2 linked regions of the Styela clava genome follow. The protein of the gene in region 1 interacts with the protein of each later gene in a biochemical or structural test. Links are inferred from orthologs where the notes say so. Each region holds a gene or a part of one and is shown on either strand. Other genes may lie near its edges.

Region 1 (6,515 bases):
AAAACAATGTACATTTTTATAACAAAATGGCAAATGGGTGTATCAAAAAAAGAAATACAAGTTATGTGTAATTAATTCGCTGGTGAATAATATAGAAAATGAATTGTCAAAAAGTTGAAAGAACTAGTAAGGGAATACGCAGGGAAGCAAGTATGACGGCCATCAAACTTAACGAAAGCATCGAAACAAATACTAAACACACAGCGGGGAAAGAAAATTTCTTTCACAAACGTAAAAAAGTTGTGGAGACTAATTACTTAAGCTGGGTGTGTAATGAAAACCATGAAAATATCGATAAATGTTCACAGGGAATGAATGAATAGTTTTCTTGGAAAAGAGCAGTAATTGTTTTCAAGGAGACAAAATGTGTTCATTAGATCACAAGTCTCAGTTATCAGATTATTGTTTTTGCTGGACGTTTTCGACAACCTATGGAAAATCTGATTCTGTTTTAGAGGTCGGAGGGTATCCATCTGTTTCTGATCCATCTGTTTCCTGGTATTTTTGAGCATTTAACTGTGTCTCTTGTAGTAGTCTACACCGACATATTTTCTTATACCTATGCCTACGATAAGAGCCTCCACCCGCATTTTAATTTAAAACCATTGTTTCCAGACGGCGTGTGTATTTCTGCAATTCTGTACCCCGCAATACAAAACCACGTTGCAACCTTATCATTTCATCACTAAAATGCTTTACCAGGCATTTTTAGTTTGGCGTCGAAACAAAAGCACGTGAATTGACTTCGGTGGGTGAATATGTGTTTTCCATTTCATTGATTTGAGTTTGTCCCACCAAGTCCAGTTTAATCACGTATTGATCAATCTTCCTTCAACTTTATACAGATATAAAAACCCAAGTAGTCAGTTTTTATGTGCCCAATCAAAGAGCTAATAACGACAATAACATTTATCAAAACGATCAATATGTACACTCTGTAGTCAATAATACAAAAATGCTACGAATTGGATAATTCCTTGAAGGTATATTTCACCCAGCCGGAGTTATACAATTTACTACCAACTCTTTGACTTCCTTTTTGTGACGGAATGGTTAACTGGCGAGAAGTGACACCTTAACCAAGGTCATCATCTTTTTTTCCCTTCTGTGGCATAACTTTAAAATCCATGTTATTTTTCGCAATCTCGGTTCATGATACGCCGAACTTCAACTAGGGTATCAATATGGACTATCTCAGAGAAATATTTACCCAATATTTCAAAGCTGAGTTTATAAAAACAAATTGCCGTATGATTAGGCTTACCATATATCTGGAACAAAAAACCGGGACAGTGCGGATCGGACTAACTTTGGTTCGATTCTGAGACTAAGTAATATCTGAAACTTCTATCATATCTTTGCAAGTAGATTCCGGGCATTGAATTATCTAAATAAATTAATTCGTACGCGCAGTCGCCAAACATTACCGTATTTATAAAAGCAGCAATTATTTGAACATTTCAATAATCGACATAAGAGAGACACGGAATGATGTTGAATTCAGTTTTAAGGTAAATGAGCCGCAAATCCTTTGCCGGTCTCGTAAAAGCTCGTTTCAGTTTTATTTTTGAGTTTGAAAAAAACATTATTGTCCCTCGTCTTTCTACGCGTCCATTTGGCACTTTGATAATTTATCGACAGGTCAGTTAACATTGTGTGTCAAATTATCGCAAAATATAATACCTATGACCAGTGGCGTAGCATCCACCCCCGCGGTCGCGGGAGGGCAAACAGCGCAAAGGGGCCCAAGCGGTTAGAATTTAGAAATATAAGCCGCAAAACCAAAAGCTGCATTGCAAAACCAGGTAATCTGTTAATGCACATCTTATAACGTTTATGTTAGTTCTGCTCAAATCGTTTTGTTACGTAACAATGCCAGGGAGTCGTCGATTTTTCGCGTCTTGTGGTTTGTTCGCACCGGCAAAATTACGAAGGCTGTCAGAATGATGTCGAGAGCAAAACCTCTCAGTGGCGCACAGAAACGCAGAAGAGGGAGCACGTATGAAAAAATTAAAGTCACCAAGATAAACGGCAAATATTAGGTTACCATTGCCTTTTAATAACAACATGCTATGCTTTTTGACGAAATAAAAAAAGCGTTTTAGCTTATGTCCGAGAGTTTTTAGGGTCATTTCCACGAGAGTCTTGCTACGCCACTGCCTATGACACAAAACAGCAGTTTTCTCTCCCTCTGTTAACTAGTGAATAAGAGATAAATTGGATGCTTCCGTCAAAAAAATAACTTGTGATAATATTATAAAAATTGTTTTTGACTGCCACGCTACATAACCGGGACATTTAAGTCTACCGGACGGGACGCCGGGAAAGCTTGTCAAAACCGGGACTGTCCCGGCTAAACCGGGACGTATGGTAAGCCTACGTATGATGTATAACGTATATATACGAAGGTGGAGAAATAACTTGAGAATCAGGGTTGTGAAGCTGGAGTTTGAGATGTATTCCACGTAGTCGGAGCGAACGTCGTGTTTTCAAACACCTTCGATGCTAGAGTGGAAATTTCGTATTCGTCGTAGTTATAATTTCAGATTTTCAATGACCTGCATGCGGTTTTTGTTACCAAATTTTCTTAAATTAAAACTCAATTTCATTTTTCTCATGGAAATCGAAGTCAGAGCAAAATTTCTTTAATCCGGAGTCGGGAATCGGGGAAAATTTGCAATCGACTCCGACAGCCAGGGCGAGGGTCTCGCGAAACAACGGTGGAAACAGGATGAACATTCTAGTATGATAGCTGCAGAGTTCCGAACTTGGACTTCCTTTACTCAATAACTTAGGTTTTTTAATATACCAGTGTTGGTTTTGCATTTTGAGCCACTTATACAAATTACTGTAATACGGTACCGGTACCTATAGCTGAACAGCTGGTGTACCAGTACGGTAGCTAGATAGACTGAAACATGATACACAACATGATAGTCAGTACCAGAGTACGGTACTGTGATATCGAGGCCTTTGTTTCGTTTTTACAAATTGTGATGGCTGTGATAATTCGTAGTACAGTACCGGTAATAGCTAAATTTTAAATTCAACTTTCAGGGTATTAAACTCTATCTAGCTCATGTAAATTAGATCTTTGTCAATTTGTGTGGTTGTTTAAACTTAAAGACTTTCTCAAATACCTGAATACTCGCTATTGGTCATCGAACATTGAGTATATTGGACACCTGGGCACATATCAACAATAATACATGGCTGCCGGTATCCCCAGAAGAATTATAAAGGTAGACTATTCAACATCTTCTTTCAGTTTCAATCAAATCTTCTTCACAGTTGTTTAGAAAAATCCTGAATGAAATAAAAAAAGATTATGCATGAAAGAATGTTTTTGACATAAATATACTGTATAGTATATTGTCTTTAATATATTCTATGGATCTTAAAGTATTATTTATCCATTTATGAACAATGTAATCATGGTTGACAAGTCTAAATAATGCTTTCTAATTAGATTGCCTTGTTATTTTTCAGGAAACACAAAGATTAGTGTCAGATTCTCCACCTGGCATATGTGCCATTCCTGTTGAATCGAATGCGCGCTATTTTAAAGTAACAGTCGTAGGTCCACAAGATGTAAGTTGTAAATAATTAGGTTATATCAATCTTTTCAACTACTTGATCTTCAGCAATTTATTTGGATAATGGTTAATTAGCATAGAGTTTTCTAACTAACAATCTGATGAAACAGTGGCACGAAAAGCTATTACTCGCGATAGTATTAAAGAAATGATGTATAAGTAGTTATTCGCCTTGTATACCTAGATTCACTTTAGCACTGGGGTACACTCGGTAGTGGGATTCAAATTTTTGTCAGCCGGTTCCATCACAAAAGTCATATTTTTCAGCCGGTTCTGTTACAAAAAGTCATAATTTTTTAGCAAGTAAACTGATTATTTTAAATTACTTCCTAATTACCATTTCAAAATTTTCAATGATGTTGAGGATTGTCGATATTGCTGATTTGCTGTATATAACCGGCTCAATCCCATCACTGCTAACAGCCACACTAAAAAGCAGCAGTCGTCTCATGACTTTTACCTATGATGCAACAATTCAATTTTCAGACAAACAATCACAAAAGGAAAATTACTACAATTATAAAAGTTAACACAATGCATAACTGTTACGTGTGCGAACTTGATCATTTCACATTTTGAAAAAAAACATGAGCTACTTGATCCAGAAAATCGGTGTGTCAGATAAGATGCAAAAACCCATTGACAGTAATCAGTAATGCTAACCGGTTCTTTGATCTCATAAAATTCTGTAAGACGGTTCTATAGAAACTGTGCGAACCGGCTGAATCCCACCACTGGGTTCACTGTGGCATATCAATTAGTTATTCCAAAATATTATTACCGTTAGATACGAATATGATTGGTTGAACCCTTATATCTGTGATATATTAAAATATAATGGAAGTTTTAAACAAAAATATGATAAGCAAAATATTAGGTTGTGGAAATCCTTGACCAGAAGTCTAATTATGAATTGATCACGGCTCACTACTAAATGAATTTAATGATCAAAAACTTTTCTGGATGGAACAAGTTTTAAAAGTTGAGGAAAACAAGAACATAGTGTAGAAAAAGTATTGTTATGCCTAATTCGACGATTTCTGCTCACCATAATTTTCTCTATAAAAATAATATGTAACTTTAGTCGTATCATTTACAATTAATCATTTATTCTTTTTATTTGTAGTCACCATATGAAGGGGGTATATTCAAATTAGAATTATTTTTACCTGAGGACTATCCTATGGCACCACCAAAAGTTCGTTTTATGACAAAAATTTATCATCCAAATATTGATAAACTTGGAAGAATATGTCTAGATATTTTAAAAGGTGATGTCTTTTTTGATTCTTAAGCTTTGAATTAACCCTGAATTATTTTTATGCTTGACATAGGAGCTTGGCTCGACGGTGTGGCACATCATGCTAAGCGTCAGGAATACTCACACCAACGCACCTCTGATTATCCTGCATGGGTTCGCAGGTTCAAATTCCAGGCAGGGAGAGTTATGTGCGAGAGGATTGCTGGACTCCTCGCCGCCGTCTGGTGGTTCGCGTAACCGCTAGTCATATACGGCTTCCTCTACCTATAAGTCCATGCTTCTAAAAAAATAAAAATAAATGGCCAACTAATCCCATACTCGACATGGACTGGTAACCGGGGCGAGAGGCTTTGTGGTTCGCCATATGATTAAGCTGTCTTATCGGCTTTCTTCTCCCCCAGGATAAATCCTACAAGTTTAGTCCCCAATGAAATTACACTGCAATGCCACTGACAATGTAAATTTTTCTGTTAATTTAAGATATCCATGCCTGGCAAGTCAGGATGTTACAATCTTGAATCAAAGTTGAAATATTATGAAAAATAAAACAGAATGTCCAAATTAACATTTTGAATCCATTTTTTAGATAAGTGGAGCCCAGCACTACAGATAAGAACGGTTTTGCTTTCAATACAAGCTTTATTAAGTGCACCTAATCCAGATGATCCTCTAGCTAATGATGTTGCAGAGGCTTGGAAACTAGATGAAAATTCGGCAATTAAAAAAGGTTTGTGTTTTTTTTAGTTATTCTTGTGCAGATATATAATTTATTTGGTGCTCCATAAGTATGTGTACCAATATGGAGGTAAAAATTTTGTTTGCCTACTTGTGTAAAGAGACTGAAGCCTATGGGCAGGGGGTATATAGTCTCCGAACTCGTAATTGAACTAAAAATAGGGAAATTCGAAATAAAATTATAGCCTAACCCGGTACACATACTACAGGGGTACCCTTTATTTTGTATATACATGTCATTTTTCACTTTTGGGCCACAGATACCTTCCAAGAAACATTTTTAAGTGGGCCACAAATCCATTAAAAGTTATTGATAGTTCAGTTAAACTTTGATTGTAGTAGCAATGAATGATGATGCTGTTTTTCAATTATTAAAGTGGAAATGTTTATATTCACGGAAAGCATTCTTTGTAGTTTTTCCATATACGGTACATGAGTTAGTTGATGGGCCATAGAACTTTTACGCAATGAAAGTGGGTCACACAAGAAAAAAGGTTGAGAACCACTGGTACAGATTCTTCTTTCTCAACCACCAACACACATATACCTGGAAAGTTGATAACTGAATGAGAAACCTTGTTCGTCGATCTATCTTTTTCTACTTCATAATCAACATGAAAGTGACATAGTACTAAGGTGCAATAATGTCTCCGCTTCAACATTGAGTATACTAATCATGAGTTATCCCAGCCCAAATAGTCATTTCACAGTTATCCTGTCCATTCCGGGCAAAACCTATAAATTTTATTTACCTTGCTTTTATTTTACTGTGCTCTTTTGTCTGAATGGCTAATAAAAAGGGGTTTATATGATTTATGTTTTATGAATGTCATATTATAACCTTTTGTCTATTTGCCACCTATCTAACTATACTTAAATTTTCATTTATTTGTAGCTAAAGAATGGACCAAGTTGCATGCCAG
Region 2 (6,515 bases), on another chromosome or scaffold:
AAATGCACATGAATGTTTTCAGCATGGTGGTCTAATGGTTATTAATTAAAGCATTGGACAAATCTAGGATGACATCACAAGTAAAAATCCCATACCCACCACCCAGGATATCAAAATTGGGTAGGCAACGTGGAACCAGAAAAATCCGTTTTTTTCCAGACTCTAGCAGCCCCTTACATAACTGTGCTTGCTTGAGCATGATCTTGTTCGGAGTGAGAGGGATATATTTACATTGTATAAAAAATTTTGTCAAGACGATATCTATTATCATTTATCAACTGAAGACGAAAAAATTAAAACTCCTAACTGGATCAAAATGTTCCTAACCACTAAAATTGCCCAATAGAAGAAATGATAATTATTGAATTTACCCCTTTACAGAAATCTTCAACAGTTCTATACTCATCAACAAAATTCTGAAAAAATTCACTGTTTTGTTGTAAATGACTTGAAGTAACCAATCGTAAATAAACAACTAAATAATTAGAGATTCCTTCATCTCTGAATGTTTGCAAAAGTTCTTCTACCGTTATTCCAGATCCTACAGAATCCACAACTGATATAAACTGAAGAGAAAAAAATGAAATAAGGCAATGATCAATGCAAACTATTTCACAAACTCCCCTGAAAGTTTACTATGCAATTAACATGGCATCTTCGGCAAAAAGCATCAGTTTAATCACATAGTGTAACATGGCCTCTCGTTCGCTCACATGTCGATATGGCTGTAAGGATGGGCAATGTACAATGACTTACTATTCTAAAATACTTCAATCCAATCATATTCTGTTTCCATAGTTACCAATATTTGTGTGAGTGAGAATTCCCCATCACATTGCTTGATTAAAAATTTAAAAAAGTAAAATTGTAGCCTAATGTATTACTATCTTTTTTGTACATTTTATTTCATTCCAAACAGGCATTTCTCAGGACAATGAAATTCAAGAGAAGGCGTGTCATAAAAGTACAGTATTTGAATTACGACACTCGCAAATATTATTTGATGTTAATTGATCGTAAACATTGTTATAGCATTTAACATCTGGCTTTCCGCGAAAAACCATTTAATGGAAAATGAAACATGGTAAAGTGAGTATCGCCAAGTGAGATAGTAAAGTCGGAAAACGCGAAAATGTAGCAATAAAGAGTACTCGTTGTGGTATGTTTGCCGTTTTTACGCTCGTCTTAGTTTCAATACGTAGAAACCGGTAATAAAAAAATTTACGCTTGGAACCGAATCCTGTTCTCAGATCCTTCTGGATTCGAACTCCAGACGATTCAGTATTCTGAATTGACCCGGTATGGGATTGGCTAGTGAGTTAATTGTTTCATATGCATGGGCTTAATGCTATATTTTCGAAACTTACTTGATCATGAAAATCTTCCACAGTGAATGAAGGATAACCTAATTTTTCTAATTTGTCTTTGGTTTCTGAAGCTTTTGCTCTGAACCTGGTGCAATAAAGAGCAACACGTTGATAATCAATCTAGTATATTATATACAGTAATAAATTCTTTGATTAGGATTAAGGAGTCATTTATAGGGATATTTTTATGGAAGTAGGCGAAGTACTAAAGTCTTCTTGATTCGTCATAGGCTATTTATGACAACCAGAGTGTGTATTTGAAATATTCCATGAGACTAGGCGGTTAGTGCATGATGTTAAGTGTGAAGATTGCGCAGCACTTGTGAACTGTAAATCTTTAACATGGCAATCTCCCAAATTATTAGATTGTTGCATATATCTGTTGTGTGTGTCTTCATTTGCAATGTGACAAAATCTTACCCAGAAAAACAATCTTTATTTTGCAGCAGATACTCAAGATAACCAAACCCAAAAGCTCTATAGAAACAATTACCATCTCCCCTTGTCTTCCTAACATGGCTGTACTTCTCTGAAAGAATCTGAAAAATTTGTGAAAAGTACAGTTATCAAGAATGCCATAATAAATGTAATGATTCCCTATTTTAAACTGGATAAAAATAAGGAGAAAATGTATTTGATATGCTTCAAATATATACATAAACATTTCTTTATCACAGTATTCCAATCTAATAGAATGTGTATGCTCAAAAACCACTTCTAAATAATTTACACAAGACACAATGTAAAATTTATGAACATGGGGTTTTATTTGGTGTAGAAATTTCCTCATTTGTGGTAAATCCATACAAGTATAGCTATTAGTGTTACTTCCATAAATTCAATAGCGGGCAACAAAAATATAATCCAAAAAAGCAATATGAATTCTGAATTAAACGAGCAATTTTCTAACTATAGGAAAGCTAACTAACAATACCTTCACTTTTTGTAAATATACAGCATCATCTTCAGCATATTCGTTTTGTAGTTGCATGATTTCCATCTTATCACTAACCAATTCGTTTTCTTTTGCTATCTGTTTATAAAACGGAAGAAATATGAGGATAGTAAAAACAATGAATTGTTCATCCCTGGTGACAGCGACTCTGTTGTCCACAAATGAAGATAGATTTGACAGCATGAACACTTATGAAATAACGGTTCCAGATAGTTTAGCAAATCATATATGCCATATTTGTTCAAAAACTATCTTAAACAGAGCAAGAAAAAAAATTGTCTTACATCTTTCTGTATTTGATTATGCATTGCATATATCGCTTCATCAATTTCCTGGTTTTGCATTGCTGGAAAATGATAAGTGAATATATTATACAAAAAAATAGCAAAAGCATCGAAGTGTAAGGTACAATTCCCTAATCCTCGTGTCATGGGTCATCCAAGTTGATCTCCGAGTTTTGGTATCACTGTTGATTACAAGTTTGAGTCATTTCATTTAGCTGACTCTAGGACACCGGTTCTCAACTAGAGGGCCATGGCCCACGGAAACATTTTTAGATGGGACATCAGTTATTGATGAATTGGTATCATTTACCGGAATTGAGTGGTAATTTTCATTTTGATTAAAAAAGTGGCATTGTCTATTTTTGCAGGGAGGAATTTTTTTTTATTTAGTTTTTCTCTTGAATGAGAAAGTTGCTGGGCCACAGAATTGTTTTTGTGCAACGAAAGTGCGCCAGAAAAGAAAAAAGGTTGAAACCATTGCTCTCGTCTCTTTGATTCATTAATGAATGCTTACGCTGGCCTCTCCAATACCAGGGGTACCCTTCTTCTATTTGAAATTAATGGTATAATAAATCCCATTCCAGTAAAATTTTCTAGGTATTTACCATGGCTACTACATATCTAGTTGAATCTGAAATATACGAAGTTTAAAATGATAATAAAATCCCTTAAAATCAAAACTTCATGTATATTCATTATACCTTGTAAAATTGCACCATCCGAATCACTTGTGTCCTGTTTGACTTCTTCATCGGATTTACTATTACTGGTTGCCATCATGAGATGGAATAACAAAGAATTATTTATATTCTGCTAAAAGTCAAGCAAGTAAAATTACAGAGAAAGATAAGCTATTTAACACAGTCTATAGATTGCACTCTGGGCATTTTAAGCATATGTATTATAAAATAATCTAGAACTAGACATGTGATTGAGGAAGGTTTTTAGAAACGATTATAAAATTTTTCTTATATATTTCTGTGATATGATACGAAGAAAAGTTGAGAATGCCTAGCCATGACAATGTCATACTATTGACTATTGAGGGACATTGATATAATATGCAATTTATGTTTATGGGACATTGGGACAATAGTAACATATACTCCATTTATAATATTTTATGTGATATGATTTGAATCAAAGACATCCAAAAAAGACTAACATAGTTAAGCATAAACAATAGCATCATTTTAATACATTGCTCTGTATTATTAACATGATGTGAACGGTATTTCTAATTGCACTATATGAAATATTTAAAAGGTATAGATTTTATCATCAGGTTACATATGCTCCCAGCAAAAAGCAGCAATTTACAAAGTGTTGTACCATAAGATGCAATAAGTACGGAGTAAAAATGTATAGGAGAATAATTAAAAAAAAGTGCTATCATAAAACATATGGAAGATAAATTACATGTTGACTGCAATATATTTGCATCATATACAAGTGTCAATTCGACCTCAGTTAGCAGATCAAGGGGCTAAGGCTTTTGGTATCCACTCTCCCGCAGGACCACAAAAATGGTATTTAAAGTTCATGGTTGCAGGTGTATCCTCCAAATTGAACTCCGCCACAGTAACACCACGGTAAGATAACATCGGAGCAAACATGGCAGCCGGGTAAACAACAGACGATGTACCAACAACCAGACAAAGATCACATTTTTCAAGTTCTTCGCCTGCTCGCTCGAGAACTTTTTGATCTAGTCCTTCACCAAACCAAACAACATCGGGCCTCAATAATCCATCACAACTTTTACATTTCGGCAAATTTTCGACTGGTATTTTTGCATCTTGAGCAGTTGGGTCAGGAGCACCCCGATCTCTCAATGCCTCACAGATCGGAGAATCTTTGTTCACATCCACTTTTCCACACTTTGTGCATCGAACTCTGAACAATGATCCATGTAATTCAATAATGTTTTCAGATCCTGCTGTCTTGTGGAGCTCATCTATATTCTGAGTAATGACAGTTAATTTCCGAGCATTACTCTTCAAACGACTTTCGCATTCTGCGATAGCCAAATGCGCAGGATTTGGATTTTTTGTTATCATGACTTCACGACGGTAATGATAAAATTCCCAAACTAATGATGGATTAGATTCAAATGCTTTTGGTGACGCTAAATCCTGAGCCTGCCATTTTCTCCAAAAGCCACCAGCTCCGCGGAATGTGGGCACCCCACTTTCTGCACTTACTCCTGCGCCAGACAGCACAACAATATTCTTTGCTCGTTCAAACTCTGCACGGAAAGCAGCCAAATCCGAACTTGGTCTTGCTGCTGCCATGGTGTAAATAGATATCGAAGACTTCACAATTTGGTGTAAAATACTTTTACATGAATTAGAGAAATGTAGAAAACATTTCATACTATTATAGCACTAAATTAGTACTAGTTTCTAAATTAAAAAACCATTATTTGCCATTAATAAGAATTTTAAAAAATATATCATTTTGCTAAGATAGGTGATTGCTACTTGGGTGCATTATCCTATTTGGTAAGAGATAGTGTTTGAACATATAGACGAGGAGCTATAACTGAAAAAAGGCAATATGCAACATATGCATATAATAAAAGGTCGCTGCTAAAACCAATAATAAATTATTAGCAGAGTTCTATAAGATTGTAAATCGATAGTATCCAACAGCATGAGATTTTCATAACAAGATATATTCAATTAGGTTCCATTACATTTGAACCCACGTACATTTGAACCCATGACAATTGCTCCTGTATGCTATTGCACCTATGGAATTTTTTTTGTTAGTTAAACCCATACTAACCCTAACCCATGGGTTTTAGCACCCGAATATAGATTGAACCTGTGGATATACGCATGGGTTCAAATGTACGTGGGTTCAAATGTACGGTCACCATTCAATTTTGCCCGAATTTCATTGTTTCTATAACGAAGATAATGCTTTGCATTTTTCAGATAAGAATCTACTTGATAATAAATTAGTTGTTTTTCAATCTTTGTGCTTGAATTTTAACATTATTGAAGAAATACTTGAAGACATTTCTCCTGCTGATTTGTTTTGACCAAAATATTCACAAAATTCCCCATCAGGATTTAATAAATACATTATCACAGTATGGTCTACAATATAATCATCTTCCGAGTCTTTTGGACCTTCAGCATAATAAACTCTAAAAGCTCTTGAAGCATTTTCAACTTGCTCACGATTTCCAGTCAAACCAATAAGATTAGGATGAAAATCAGCAATATATTTTTTAACAGCATCAGGAGTGTCTCTGTCAGGATCAATACTTATAAATAAAGGTTGAACGTCTGGCAACTGCGGAGTTCTCTTGATTGTATCAACAACATTTCCCATTTTTTCTAGTTCTTCAGGACAAATGTCAGGACAGTGGGTGAACCCAAAGTAGATAAGAACCCATTGACCTAAAAAGTCGCGATTACTGCATTGTTTGCCGTCTTGATCTATAAGAGTAAAATCTCCCCCTAAAGCTGGTTTTCCCATTGACTTTATCATATTAGATTCAAATTTCTCTTCTTTTTTCGACTTGAAATGCTTCATAATAAGGATAGAAATAGAACCTACAGTTGCAATAAACAACACAGACATCCAACCTACACCAGGTGCTAGTGTTGGCGACCTACGTTTTCGAATTGGAAAATATAGTCTTCCTGAGGTAGAGAATTGTTTTTGAAATACTTTTGTTCTTGATGGATTTACAAAGTTCAAACATATATTTTTTGACTTGGCCAATGTTCCGTAAGTACGATGCTGTATGGCATAGCAATGTGGGGATATAGTTTTTAGCAAACACAGTAACCTCATTCTTATATGTTTCTACACAAAAATAAAACAAGTATAGGATTTTCATATTTATCTTGAGGGAGAAGGAAACACAAATAGATGACTTATCATATGGCA

The links. The genes of interacting proteins can lie anywhere in the genome.
Region 2: the proteins of ubiquitin-conjugating enzyme E2 N-like (region 1) and ubiquitin thioesterase OTUB1-like form a complex in vitro, tested with the Homo sapiens proteins (6 studies listed by BioGRID and IntAct, with this or other methods). The link is inferred for Styela clava from reciprocal best matches to the Homo sapiens genes UBE2N and OTUB1.

The regions. Positions count from the first base shown.
Region 1 is NC_135258.1:13,558,034-13,564,548, forward strand, and holds the start of ubiquitin-conjugating enzyme E2 N-like, read left to right. Parts: upstream 1-3,034; 5' UTR 3,035-3,209; coding exon 3,210-3,242; intron 3,243-3,489; coding exon 3,490-3,591; intron 3,592-4,722; coding exon 4,723-4,867; intron 4,868-5,443; coding exon 5,444-5,584; intron 5,585-6,487; coding exon 6,488-6,515. UniProt on the Homo sapiens protein: The UBE2V1-UBE2N and UBE2V2-UBE2N heterodimers catalyze the synthesis of non-canonical 'Lys-63'-linked polyubiquitin chains. This type of polyubiquitination does not lead to protein degradation by the proteasome.
Region 2 is NC_135260.1:14,938,269-14,944,783, reverse strand, and holds the start of ubiquitin thioesterase OTUB1-like, read right to left. Parts: upstream 3,447-6,515; 5' UTR 3,387-3,446; coding exon 3,308-3,386; intron 2,669-3,307; coding exon 2,607-2,668; intron 2,401-2,606; coding exon 2,302-2,400; intron 1,907-2,301; coding exon 1,788-1,906; intron 1,453-1,787; coding exon 1,368-1,452; intron 567-1,367; coding exon 372-566; intron 1-371. Other genes in the region: NAD-dependent protein deacylase sirtuin-5, mitochondrial-like, read right to left, coding at 4,085-4,981; protein SCO1 homolog, mitochondrial-like, read right to left, coding at 5,583-6,419. UniProt on the Homo sapiens protein: Hydrolase that can specifically remove 'Lys-48'-linked conjugated ubiquitin from proteins and plays an important regulatory role at the level of protein turnover by preventing degradation.